2 linked regions of the Arabidopsis thaliana genome follow. The protein of the gene in region 2 interacts with the protein of the main gene of each other region in a pairwise test. Each region holds a gene or a part of one and is shown on either strand. Other genes may lie near its edges.

Region 1 (8,152 bases), on a different chromosome or scaffold from region 2:
TAGCTTCTAGGCGTTGAGTTGACCGCTAGGCGACGAGCTTGATGCCATGCGACAAACTGGCGGCTAGGCAACGAGCTGGACGAAGAAGATGGTGGCTATCGAGTCGGGTCGAGGTCGGTTAAGACGAGTTTGTCAAGTTAAGTCCTCTTGGTTGCAGTTTTATTGAGATTGGAATAGTCAGTCTTGGCAGCCTTTGAAGGAAGATAGCAGGTGCAGGTGAGTAACCGGGTCGGCTTGAGGGGTATGCTTGATTCCCTACTCTTTCAACGGTTATGTTGAGGTGCTCGGCCGTCTTTGCATCATGTTGGTTGATTCAGTTGAAGAAAGGTCTAACTTTGGTGCTGAGCAGAGTTATATCCTTCATAGTAGTTTGTAATTTTTAGAGCTCACGATCGCTCGCACCGATATAGTGGTCTTCTATTCGGTATGTTCGAGTGTCGATGTTCGGCCGGTTGTCACGGTTCAGCGCATTTTCACGGGTGTGCTCGTCGATGGACCCAACAACGATAGAAGCAGGCCTATTGCGTCGGTTCACCGGTCTTTCCATGAAAAGAGTTACTGGGGCGGGACTGTTTTGTCATCGCTGAGCTGTCGACCGGCGCGAGCTGCGGAGGACTGGAGTTGCTCGATCTGATTCTACGATGCCTTCTGGGCAGCGACAATCACGTTGATGCGTTCGGTAGTTCTTGTGTTCTGTAAGTCGAGTCGGTCGAGGAAAGATCGGATGACTTCGTCAAGATTGGTTCTTCGTGAAGTTGTTTCTCCGAGTTCGGCAGGAGCTGCGACAGGAGCTGCGGCTGGAACTGCGACATGAGCTGCGGCTGGAACTGCGACAGGAGCTCCGGCTGGAGGTGGCGTCGTTGGCCAAACTGGTGGTGGCGTCGTTGGCCGAGCTGGTGGTGGCGTCGTTGGCCGAGCTGGTGGTGCGGCACGAGGCGCGATGGTTCTGACTCCTTGTTCGTTCGAGGTTTCCGTCATCTCGTCGTGGCTCTCCGGGATTACTGGCAACATCGTAGCTGCTCGTCAATATCAGAAGAAAACTCTGCCTAGCCCCACGGTGGGCGCCAATTGTTTGTACCGAGGTTGTAACAATAATTATTAAGGGGTTTGGGGAGAACGGAGTAGCTTCTTTATTAATGACGAACGAAAAGACAATAATTAACAGAACGGAAAACCGTAAGTACAGAACGGAGAACCGAAAGTACAGGTCGGAAAATCGATATTAATGGTCGGAAAACCAGAAAATACAGAACGGAAAACCAGAAAATAAGAGATAAAGAGGTAGGCAGCAATTCTCTCTTAAATCCTCTGAGTGGTGACTTAGGTTCTGGATCCCTCTTCTTAGTAGTGTCTCCTCTTATTTATAGGCAAGAAGCTGATCTAGGGTTCTCTTAGTCTCTCTAGCGATTTCTCCGTTTTGCCCTTCTGAATTTATCGGGCTGGGCCAAACCGTGATGGGCCGAGCTGTGATGGGCCGAGCAGTCATTCTGATGGGCCGTTGTTCTGATGGGCCGTTCTTCCTTGTTAGTAGCTTTCTTGACTTGTTCTATTTGTGTTTGGGCCGAATTGGGCATGGAGGGCAAAGCCCGTATCCCACAATCTCATTGGCGGTCCGACACTTCACCTAGAACATGACAGAGAAATCGACTCGATGTACATTGAGGGTATTAAATGCGTAATAGACATGAAACCATGCACACATCTAAATTCTCATGTACAAAAAGACACTCTAAAAACATGCCCCGTATCTGCTCTTATACAAATCGTAGTGCAGTCGTCCGTCGACAGGGGTATACTTGTACATCAATTTTCATCAAACATGAGCTTCACCAATTCTTATGTCAAGTCGCTTGATATCAACATATGATATCATGTAATTCTATATACTTTCCCTCTTCCCGCAGGATCCAAAAAGTTGTGCAGAACAAAAGATCATCCGAGAATATCATCTTTCATACACTAAAACGATTACTTTGAATCCGAATTCTTGATCTAGCTTAATTTAGTTTAATACTCATGTATCGTTATTTTTAGTAGTATCAAAATAATTTGAAAAAAAGATGGAAAAGAGAAAACCACGTTGGGAAAATTCCAGCTAGGGATTCAACAGAGGCACACAAGTGTGATTCTTCAAAATTCCAAATTCTTTATATTGAAAAGCTTACTGAATTATAATACACATTACATTGTTCCAACTTCAAAACATAGGCACTCTTAAACAAAACACAGAAATACAAAATCTCTTAAAACTTCAAACTTCCCAACCAAACAAAACCACATAGGCTATTACTACTTAGTTAGGCGGCTTGAAGAACTTGAGCTTAAGTCCATTGGTAACCATACTCCAGATCCCACCTATGGAGAATGCCAAGCTGAATGCAACTCCCAACCAACCTAATCCCCAATGGAAATACCAATTGAAACTGTATTTCGCCGGTTTCTTAATCAAGACCCACATGAAGCAAGGATAAGCAAATGTGACCGGGAGAGTGAGTCCACCGAGCAACCCCGCAAGACTAGACAGAAAAGGGAGAGCAACACCGATGAAAAACGAGACAAAACCAAAAAAGACTCGGAAACCTGATCTGACCCAAATCGAACACGGCTTGTTGGTTCTGCTTGTGTAGCCAGCTTCAAAGCTGTCAAAGGCAGGCATGGAGTATATCTGAAAACTGCTCAAGCAGCTGAAGACTACTAGGAGAAATGCCGTCGCTAATAAGCCTCTCGGGATATCGTGAATGTGGAATGCATACAAAGCAGCAAGCATACCTCCTGAAGGCATCTATAAGACCAAGAAAAAATAACTTCAAACTAATCCGGAAATTGAACCAAAGATCAGAAAACGAACTATAAATAAATGATATTAGTGTTCCTTTTGAATTCTATATTTCACTAACATGAACCAAACACCAGATAAACATCCTTCACTGACAAGACATAAACAAAAGATATAGTAAATGGAACTTACAAGGTTCCCATAAGCCCAAAAGCCTCCGATGGAGATTGGAAAGATACACAGAGCAATGAGGAAGTAAGAGATTTTGGCTCCTCTCCACATTGGTACGTGAGCAGGATGCTTAAACGTTGATGGCATCGTCGACTACAAAGTTTTCAATACTCAGAATAAATCATAAGTCCAATATGTGCATTATCTATAGACAGAAATATTTTGCATATTTTACCTGAATTTCCAAAACCAAGTTGTGACCTCTGAAGGCAAAAGCTATAATGCCAAGAGCATTCAAAACAGCGAAGAGTGAACCAGAAGTCGAAGGCATAGAAAGAGGCTCGTATGAGATAGTGGCTGGTCTTGGTTGGCTCACAGAGAGAACCCAAACCATTGTGGAGTAAGTTATTGCAGTCACTGCTCCTATTAAGGAGAGTCCCGCAATAGAATTGAGGTTTGGTAGCTGAGACAGAACGATGCAGAGAGATGTAAACACCAAATACCATTCAACTGTTGTTAACGGATTCGAGGTGCATAATGGACCGCAAACTATCTGGAAGAAGAGTTTCATTGTCTCTCCACCGATCAGAATCAGCGCTGTCGCGGTTCCTGCTGATAAGTAAACCGTAGGAAACAATGCAAGCCATACTCCTAACCTTTCTCCTGTTCCAATCAAGAGTACAAGATTTAGTAATAGCAACTTAGCAAGACACAAAATTAGTATCAATAATAATTGTCACTATTGATGCATTATTTCATCATTCTTAATGTAAAACTAAATTTATCATTTTACCAAAAGCAGCTTGTGCAAGCTCGACATATCGATTGTAGCGTTTCCCGGGGACAGCTTCGTGCAACTGAACCAGAATCCACAGTGTGTAGAGTTGCCAGCAATATGCTATTGTTAAAGACAGTATTCCCCAACTCCTGTAACAACAATAATTCACTTCTTGAAGTTTGGAAATAATATATGTGCATTTTCTTACATAAGAATCTCAAATACATGATCATTGCAATATCATTATTCATCACTAAGCTATTTAAGTATTGAACTAGCCAAATGCTCCACCTTAACAAGTTATGTATAGTTTCAAATATTAGAACTTGCAATAAAAAATATTTATCTAAATATAAGTTTATAAGAAGAAATAGTCATCTATTATGACGTCAACTACATGCCCTACTTATATATACACAATAAATACTTTTCAGAAAAGTGTTTTTTGCCGGAAATTAACAAGAAACAAAGTAGACGATAAAGAAGGCTCTGTCTTAATCCAAATTAAAGCAAAAAAGTATGTCTGTGAGTATCCACATGTGTAATGATGGAAGCATGACAAATTAAAAAGAAAATATCTACTGCTAAAATTGAAATGTTTTCAAAGTTAAAAAGTAAATTAGTCAATATCCTATTATTATTTCCGACAAGAAAAACATTTTTGATTTTTGCCCAAACAAGTAAAGTGAACCCTGAAACTGGATCTGAGCACCACAGAGAGTCGAATAAACCCTCGCCGTTCACTAAACAAAAATAATCTTGAAACACTAAACACAAAGTTCAAGAAAAAACTCAAAAACAAGAAAAAAGATTATTGGAAAAATCAAGAAAAACGCAAACGCACCAGCCAAGAAACGCAAACGCGACGGGAAGAACAAGGGCTTGAAAACCAACACCAGCGTTGAGATTGTGAAAAGCAGCGTAATGAGCGTTTCCATTACGAGATTCAGTGATTGGAAGCCAAGCATCTTGTGGGTTTAGCTTAGTGAGATGACCAACTTCTTCAAGATACCCTTTCATGTTCACAAGAACTCGTTTCATTGGTGTACCAATCGGACTCAAGAACCTCGGTGATATGAACGAAGTCGGAGTCCATGTCGCCGACGATGGTTTGGTGGCCGGACGAGGTGATCTTTGACCGGAGGGAGTTAGAATCTCCGGTGTTGAAACTCGTGGTGTGGCTGGTATTGATATTAGCTCTGTCTCGGGTCTTTCGTCCATTGGAGCAGGTGAAGAGTGCGAGAAGAAATGATGTTTTTTTTTTGTTCTCACTATCACTCTCTCTCTCACTCACTCCCTATTTAGAGGGGTGGTTTTTTTTAGGACAACTTTATTGGTATTGAAACAAATTTTTATTTAATTACAAGAAGAGGACAGATTAACTAACGAAATTTACAATTAAATGACAATCAAAGTTGATAATTAAAGAACATGACATGATTATTTATAATGGTCTCAACAGTAACAATTTTTTTTTTGTAACATTACGACAAAAGTAACCTTCCCCATCAATACAAAAGTTCTGAACATATGTTTGTTTGACCAGTAAGTACTAAGTATTATGATGGTGAGGTCAAGTTTTTGAACATTATGACCAATTTGTTTATTTTTTAGCAAAAAATTGACATGAAATAGGTGTTGATGATCATAATCACTTTAAGTTAGCTGAAATATTTCACCTTATCTGAGTGGAAAAATAACATTGATATATGTAAATTAAAAAATAACAATGAAATATGTAGATTAAAAAGTAACACTGAAATATCTTAGCAAAGTAAAAAGTAACACTTCAAACATGTAAATGAAAAAATAGAGAGAAGAATTTTTGAGGCCAAGCAAAATTTGCAACTCACCTTACTCTTTCATAAAAAAATTCAATACAACAATTTAATTTTACCAAGGGATTAGAGATATCGATTATATAAGGGAGTGAATGCACTATAACACCCTTCATAAACCACCATTAACTCAGTTTAAATATTTGATACAAAAATTTATCTTTGTTCTTTCTCTAATATGCATTATACAAAATAACTATTTAAAAGATTCGCAAACTCATTTCTTCAGTTTTTTACTTAAAAATAAGATAAATACATTTTGGAGTTGGATCTAAACTCAACATCACTTTTTGGATGATTGAAGATTTACAGGATATGCTTGTCTGAAAATAATAGATTTGGAGTTAGCAAAATCTTTGTATTCTAGTGATAAAATAGATACGAGTAAGCAAAATAAATTGATACACATAATTGTAATGAAGTTTGGTCTTTCAAACTACATCCATGGAATTACATAATTGCAAACGTATAAACCAAATCCATTTGCTCTGACCTACCACTAAGCTAAATTACATCTAAATTTAGAGTTTAGTCATGATTTGAAAAGGAAGAGTTACAAATTATGTCCAACTTGACGTTATTTGTATTTTATTTTCTTGTATCTCTTCTACCATCTACTAAAAGGAGATATCTTGCTCTTCAAGTTAGGAATTATCCAACATCACTTGTCGATGGACTTTCTACTGAAGCTACAAGGACATGACATGCTCGGTTATATCATATTGGAGTTGATTCACAGAGAAGATGTTGGAGAAGTACATGAAGAAGATGATGGCATGGAGGATATCACTAAAAAATACCATAATGAGGTTGGTGAAGTAGTTCAAGGAGTACCACAACTGAGAAGGTCGGGTCGACAAATAAGTCAGTCGCGGTACCTTGAAGACTATGTTATGCAGTCCGAAACAACTTATGGATTGTTCCACCAAGCTTATGTTAAAAGTAAGAGACGTCAACTTTCAACAAGTAATGAGCCAAGAGGCTAAAGATGTGCTTTAATGGAGGAAAGATGTGAAGAGGAGTTTGAATCAGTCAACAAGAACAAGATGGTTCCTTGTTGACATATTCATTCAAGTTTTGATCGGTTCAAAAGCTTTTCAAGAGTTTTAGAGAAGCAAGTCGGCTTGTCTATTAAAACCTTTTGTACCGATAAAGGAGGAGACTTTACTTCAAGGGAGTTCAATCGATGTTGCATAGAGGAGGAGTCTCCAGGTATCTAATGAAGATTCTAAATGATATGTGGAGAGAAGTCGTACGTCATTGAAAGATCATGGGACTACATCTAAAGAAACTAGATGAAGAGTCAAGAAGTATAATCACGAGGCTGCATCTCAAGAAGGTAGATGATTGGTCAATCTTGGAACTAAGTCAGATTTTAGAGATGTTTAAACCAAGTTGGGTTTTATTAGAGAATATCAAAACAAGCAAGGTCATGGTATTTGGGTGTTTTGTACTAGTCATTGAAGTACAAGTAATATTTAGCTAAGAAAGCTGAAATGAGTATGATACATTGCAACACACCGAAATTTAATTAGCCCACGATATATCATAAACAAAAATTTTTCCACACAATTTTAACTAAATCAACATGTTTCGACATGTCAAAATATCATAATAAGGTTTTAATCCTTGTTGTAGTACCAAAATAATAATATTTATAATTTATATTAAAATATATCTCCTCGAGGGTCAAATGAATTTATTCCAATTACTATAAATAGTATATTATTTTAGAAAAACATGAGACTTTAAATGTATATAAAGTAGTGTTATGCATATTATTAGTCAAAATTTTGAATTTTTCATAGGTAGAAAAATATTTGTTCATTCAAATATGGGATGTGATTTATATATAATATCAATGAAGATTTTTTCCAAAAATTATCTTTAGAATATATTGTAGATATTACTGAAACAATGATAGGCAAAAAAATATTATTGAAATATTAGGAATTATAATTCAAAATTTTCTACTCCAAACTTTTTCTATAATATATCTTACCATCCAAGTTCATTTGAAGTTCAAATTGTATTGAGGTTATCTAGGCAAAGATATTAATTACTTGTATTTTATTCCTCTTTTTGTCCAAAATACATTTATAAACCTTAATCTTTAATTTCCCTAACTATGATTTCATATAGTTAATCTCATTGTGATTTATACATAACTCCATTGGAATCTATTGGATTCATGCTCCACCAGTTCTTACACTTGAATTGCAAAACATTATCAAAACAATCCTTAAAATATATTTTTCTGTATGCAATTATTTATTTTAAGTGAAATAAGACAAAATTTTATGTTTTCCTAAATTTTCTATTCACTACAATAATATCATGTTCACGGTTCGATTTTAAATATATCTATTATAAAGTTTGAAAATAAAAGATTTTACGCACCAAAAGCCCGTTAACCTTTATCTTAAATTTACATGACAATATTAGAAAGTAATTAATAAAGTTATTTGAAAATAAAAGATTTTACGCACCAAAAGCCCGTTAACCTTTATCTTAAATTTACATGACAATATTAGAAAGTAATTAATAAAGTTATTATATCTTCTAAGAAATGGCCCGTTTGAACAATAA
Region 2 (6,206 bases):
GTTTGTACATCAATTAAAGTTGGGATCCAAATAACAAATAAACATAGATGGCATTTAAGTAAATAAGTTTGTTATGTGTGTAAAGAAAAAAGCATTACTTATCTGCGTTCCGTGTTAAAACACGATTCTAACGGAGAAACAAAAACGCGTTTACGCTTTTTCAACTATCATATCGACAAAACGCCAAGTGGATGATGGCGGTTTAAACGCTATTTAATGTTGAAAAATCGCGTCTATGTATAATTGGAGAGACATGATGAGAGAAATATCACTGGAATCTGAACCAGACAGTTTCTGATCTTCTTCTCCTTAGAGGATCTCTCGGAGAAGATTCAAAACCAAGAACAATCTCAGTCTCTATCTCTCTCTCTGGGTGCATTTAGATGGCTGGAGTTGTGCGATTAACGACGACGTCGGTTCAAGCCATTCGTGTCTCCTCGTCCTTCAGCTCCTTTGCCACCGCTCTTAATCCTCTGCAACCTTGCTTACCTCCAAACTCGAATCTGAATTCCGACAAGAGATTGCGTCTTCTCTCATCTTCTCCTTCCTGCTCGTCTTCTCATTACCACCCATCTTCTGGTCTCGGAAGCCATCTCCCCCTTAGACGACCCAAGAGCCAAGTGGTTCGTGTCAAGGTACAAATGTCTTGCCTTTTAGCTGATTCTGTCCGTAAATCGTATACCCTTTTGGAAATTGAGACTCTTGAGCCCATTTCTGATCTCTTGTTATTCGATTTGGTCTTTCGCCTCTAGCTAGAGCCTAAACGTGAATTGTGACCTTAGCTCACTGTTATGTTCTCATTCCACTTCAGATGTTTAGAATTTAGTCTAAAGTTTCAGTTTTTTTGTTAGAGACGGTGATGCTATTGATTGCTTTGATTAGATGGTGATGCTTTCGGCCATAGTTTTATGTTTCTGATGTGGGTTTGTGGTGTAGGTAGATGAAAATGTAGCCGAGACAGAGCCACCGAAATGGTGGGAGAGGAATGCTCCAAACATGGTCGATATTCATTCTACTGAAGAGTTCTTGAGCGCTTTAAGCGGTGCGGGTGAAAGATTAGTTATTGTAGAGTTTTATGGAACTTGGTGTGCTTCTTGCAGAGCATTGTTCCCAAAGGTTAGTGTCATGTGACGTATCTATTCCATGAAACTATAAGAGTTTCATTTCTCTTTCGTGATTCTGTGAGAAATTTAGATGTTTTTTTTGTGTCTGTTTTGAAAATGTTTTCAGCTTTGCAAGACAGCGGTGGAACATCCCGATATAGTGTTCCTTAAAGTAAACTTTGATGAGAATAAACCGATGTGCAAGAGTTTGAACGTGAGAGTGCTTCCTTTTTTCCACTTTTACCGTGGAGCTGATGGTCAGCTTGAGTCATTCTCATGTTCTCTTGCTAAGGTAAAGAAGGCTATTTCGGTTTCACCTTTTCCGCAACTAGAGCTTGGCATAACGCTTCAAACAAAGAGAACTACTTCGTTGTTCTTTTTCGATAGGATCTATCAAATATTATAGACCCTTTGCTGATATTGATACCAAAACCGGTTGAATGCATTTGGTCTGTCTCTGATTACTATTTGACATCCTCTTCTTTTGAATATTTGTGTGTATTCAGTTTCAGAAGATAAAAGATGCAATCCAACTGCACAATACCGATCGTTGCAGCCTCGGTCCAGCCAAGGTACCTGAAGGCTTAACATTAGCCAAACCAGCTGCATCAAGTTGAAGTGCCAGATTTTTAGATATATTACTAAGGCAACAATCTTTGGTTGCTCAAGCAAATACTCAGCTTAAAATTCTGTATATCGTCATATTTTTGGGTGTAAAAGAATACTTCCTAAAGCCAGTTACGATTCTTCTGCTAATAGTCAATTGCAAATGTATTTTCACTACTGCTGTTCTTTATTGCTTTAAAGCAAGCTTATTGATGAAGTCATGTGAGGTTGCATAAGTCTCATTTCCATAGTTTTGGGGTAAATTTATAACTTTCTCAACTTACCGAACGATAGTGAAAAACAAATACATAGCACAATGGTTACAATAATCATGTGTTGTGATTACAATTTACAAATTTACAAGAATCATATCAAATAAGATTTTTTAAAAATTTACAAATGTGAGCTCAAGACTTTTAAGTGTTAAAGATAAGTTAAGGGCTGAAAACTAAAACATGTAGGAATAAGAGGACTGTTTGGTAAACGTTTTAACGTTTAAAGTCTTGCCTTTTGATATCAGATTTTTCTCAGGTTCCCACGCGCCGCCGCGAAACAGCTAGACGGAGAAATCCAAAATTCGGCGAAGGTTTGAGAAGAGAGAAATCTGAGAGATGCAAGGAGTGTGGAGCCAACTATGGAGGAAATATGCTGATTATAAGTACAATAAGTTCGAGAGATTTGCTGTTTGGGAAATGATCGAACCTTACCGTCGACCAAAAACCTTCACAACTTTGATTACTATCTATGTCGCCGCCTTTTACACCGGCGTCATCGGCGCTGCAGTTACAGAGCAGCTCTACAAGGTCAGCTTCGTATTGTTATCGATTCAGGCCCGGAATTGCTATTAGATTTGTGGGTTCTAATTTGATTCTCGTGATTGGTAAATGTTAGGGTTCGAAATGTGATAAAATTGGAAATGATTCATTGTTGATTACTAATAAAGGATTGTGTGATCATGAAAAGAACTATACTTGAATTGCTTTTCATGGGAATGGTTCATTAGGTCTTTCAATGAAGCTTTTACGTCTTGATTAGTATCTAATCTAATTCATTGTTCTGTAGTATATTGTATTCTTTGTCAATGTGTTTCTTACACTGTTTTGTGTTAGTATCAGTTATGTTTCTTGTTTGAGTGTGAACTTTATGTTACTCCACTCTCTGTAAACAGGAGAAGTTTTGGGAAGAGCACCCAGGGAAAACAGTGCCTCTGATGAAGCCAGTATTCTATCGAGGACCATGGAGAGTTTATCGTGGTGAGGCTATTGCTTCAGATGCTAGCAGCCAGTGAAGCTAACGATTAGGCTATCAGAGACTATGGTGAAGGATGTATCTCCGACTTTGATACGCAGATATAAATGGATTTATACTGGTTCACTAGTATATGTATATCAAAAAACTTCTTTTGGTTCAGTAGAATGTTTGTGTCTGTATTTCGAGTCTAATGACTCTCTTAAGAATCTATTTTCTAGAAATTACATGTAATGACAGTCTCGTTATAGTATAAGGATTTGATTTGAGAAGTTTAAGGGTATCCATTCATTCCTTTGAATATCTCTGCTTGTATCTGCCTCTCTTCTGGTGTCCTGAAATAAAACATTCCCAAATAAGATAGATGATCTAACTACCTCAGAAACATTGAGCCAACACAGATTTTTCTCTTCAAATTAGGTTGCTTCACATTCTTTAGTCCATATAGATTCCTCTGGGGACGTACTCTGTTTCTTTCCTTCCTTTTTTTTTTTGTTTGTTGCTTGTGAAAGAATATGACAACCTATGGCACTATACCATCCCAAGAAAATGCTTCGTCGAGCCTGAGCTTATTAGGACGAGCCAAAGAATTGATCTCGTTAGGTCTTAGCTCTCAAAGGCCATGGCTTGAACTTGTCCAATGTAGTGCCTTTAGCCTTCCTATCTCCTTTAGCGTTGCCACTGAACGAATCAAATCCAACATCATGATCTTTCGAACCAACTACATTGTTATCTTCATTGTTAGTATCTTCATCAGCATGCTTTGGCAACCCGTCCACCTTTCCGTCTTTGTTATCTTGATAGTAGCATGGCTATATGTCTACTCCCGTGATAATGAACCATGGGTGATATTTGGCAGTGTGATCGATGATTCTACTTTGGTGCTGGTTTTGTTGGTCCTCACGATCGGTATATTTCTACTAACAGATGTATCCCGCGGTATTGTGATCGGGGTTTTGGCTGGTTTGCCCGTTGTTCTGGTTCATGGCATGTGTAGGAGGAATACAGAGATGTTGTTCGTCTTGGAAGATGATGAAGAGAAAGTGGCAATGAACACATCATCTTCGTCACTTTCTTCTTCCTCTTAAGTCTTCACAATTGAGCACAAGATTTTCAGTTTTTCTTTCCTGAATTTGTCTACATAGTTCAAAACAACGCATATCCAGTGAAGGAACGTTAACATGCTGCAAAAAGAACTTGAGCTCTTTTGCGATCAAAATTCAGGATGTGGATATTGATGTACTGATGCATGTCAGAGACCTTGGTGACAAATAAAAGGCAATTTTGCGTGCTGATTAAAAACATTATCCTATGATAGAATTCCTATCTAATTATCTCCAACAAGCCAATACAATAACGAAGACAAGTGTGATCCTCTTCTCAGTTATCACTTATTACAAATTATCCAATCGATTCTCTCATTTTCAACAATTACGAATTGAAAGGTTGTAACTTTATATGAACAATGATCTAGTTTTTAATTTTATCACAACAATTATCAAGTTCAAATGCAATAGGGATTTGGCTATATATACCATTTTACTTTTTAGACACGACATGAAGAAGTAGTTAGACCATCTCCAACAAAGAGAACCCCAAAAAATTCTCAAATAAAAAAAATATTAATATTTTACTATAATTTGATTATACAATTAAATTTTTATTTTAGTAAAAAAATTAGATAATTGTAAAAGAGATAAGTGTTTAAAAGGAACTCTCTAAAATATCTGAGGTGGTTTAGACGTCTCGCTAATATCAACCGGCCTAGTCCCAGAGTGAATACAATATTTTTACATTTGGTAAATGTTAAGCAAAACCAACTAAGACTTATTCCTAATAAACATATTTAATTTATTTATTTCAAAGAGATAATTACATAGGTTTATATTGTCTATGAAGAATTATTTTGTTTATAATTTTTTTAATATGTTATAGTGTTCTAGAATTACCAAAATATAAAGTTTGTTAATCATGTTTAATTTAAAGCAAAAAAAGAAGATAAAACATAAGAAAAACAAAAGCAAACTACAAGCAAAATATATATAAATTTTCAAGATTTCTCCTTATTCCTCCAAACTCTATGCATTTTAAAATAGTTGGTTTGAGGATGTATTGTTTATTATTTCGTTATTATCATGCTTTATATATATTTTTGAACTTTTTGGATCAAAAATAACAAATCTAAGTATTTTGACAATAATTTTAAATACGATCATTTAATATCCTCAAATTTTACAAAAAAGCTGATCGAAAAAAGTAGTCCAATCGATATTACCGTTATTTTTCTCTTAAAAGTTTTTGTTTTTTTGTAGGGTTTCAGATTTTGGTTTGACCCGATCTACAGCAGAGGGCAACGAATCAATCATGACAAAGTCTATCCTCGGCACATATGGTTACATGGCACCTGAATACGCATGTATGCTTCTTCTCTAATCTGTTAATGTTTATTACATCGGATCACCAATGTTATTGTTATCTAACAGCTTAAACTTTGTAAGTGCATTGATTGGAAGGGTAACTACAAAAGCTGATGTCTACAGTTTTGGAGTTATTCTCATGGAGTTAGTCACAAGCAAGGAAGCTTTAGACAAGAAGCGATCAGATGCTGAACATCACATTCTCAGTTGGTTCAGGAGAGTCTGCATCGACAAAAACTCTTTTAGAGAAGCCATTGACGAAACAATTTAAGTGAATGAAGAGAACCGCAACATCATTGACGACGTAGCGAGACTAGCAATTCACTGCTGCGCCAAGGAGCTCACTCAGAGACCAGAGATGAAGTATGTTGTCTCTACACTTACCTCACTCTGTGACACTTGGAAGCCTAGTGAAATCGTAGACAACGACAGGGAGGACACAAGTGTATTAGAACTTGTAAAGAGATGGAAGGAGCAAGAGATGGAGGGAAGCAGCAGCGGTATCATTGTGGTTTGATGGAACTTCTATAGATATGTAGTGTGATGTAGAGTTTATGGTTCATTTGTATAGTAGAAGTGTAAGTTTTGAATATGATTAAGTTCAAAGTCTAACCTCTTCGTCATGATTTTTGTTTCAAATTTGTGGTTTCTTGGTCAATGTGAAGCAGGGATTCTTTATTCACTAGTATATATAGCTTTGTTATGCCTCAATTTTTATTTTGATTTCGCTTTATTCAAGGTTTTCGTGTCTCAATTTAGGGTATCGTTATTGAATTTCTTGGGCTTCAATTTAGGGTTTCTTTATTGAATCTTTGGGGTTTTACCCTCTCGC

Evidence for each region. Proteins that work in one complex are often made in the same cells at the same time.
Region 1: the proteins of PRA1.C (region 2) and AT1G47670 interact in a protein complementation assay, tested with the Arabidopsis thaliana proteins (one large-scale study listed by BioGRID).

The regions. Positions count from the first base shown.
Region 1 is NC_003070.9:17,534,541-17,542,692, forward strand, and holds AT1G47670 (Transmembrane amino acid transporter family protein), read right to left. Parts: upstream 5,180-8,152; 5' UTR 4,947-5,179; coding exon 4,570-4,946; intron 3,875-4,569; coding exon 3,741-3,874; intron 3,611-3,740; coding exon 3,183-3,610; intron 3,101-3,182; coding exon 2,969-3,100; intron 2,783-2,968; coding exon 2,294-2,782; 3' UTR 2,085-2,293; downstream 1-2,084. Other genes in the region: AT1G47657 (uncharacterized protein), read left to right, coding at 200-216, 384-634; AT1G47660 (uncharacterized protein), read right to left, coding at 391-539, 641-1,011; AT1G47680 (uncharacterized protein), read left to right, coding at 6,235-6,549. UniProt on the Arabidopsis thaliana protein: Amino acid transporter.
Region 2 is NC_003075.7:14,531,286-14,537,491, reverse strand, and holds PRA1.C (prenylated RAB acceptor 1.C), read left to right. Parts: upstream 1-3,418; 5' UTR 3,419-3,472; coding exon 3,473-4,045; 3' UTR 4,046-4,555; downstream 4,556-6,206. Other genes in the region: ACHT2 (atypical CYS HIS rich thioredoxin 2), read left to right, coding at 384-635, 937-1,116, 1,231-1,509; EMB2752 (embryo defective 2752), read left to right, coding at 2,321-2,512, 2,878-2,997; AT4G29654 (Protein kinase superfamily protein), read left to right, coding at 5,038-5,066, 5,278-5,349, 5,441-5,580, 5,656-5,891.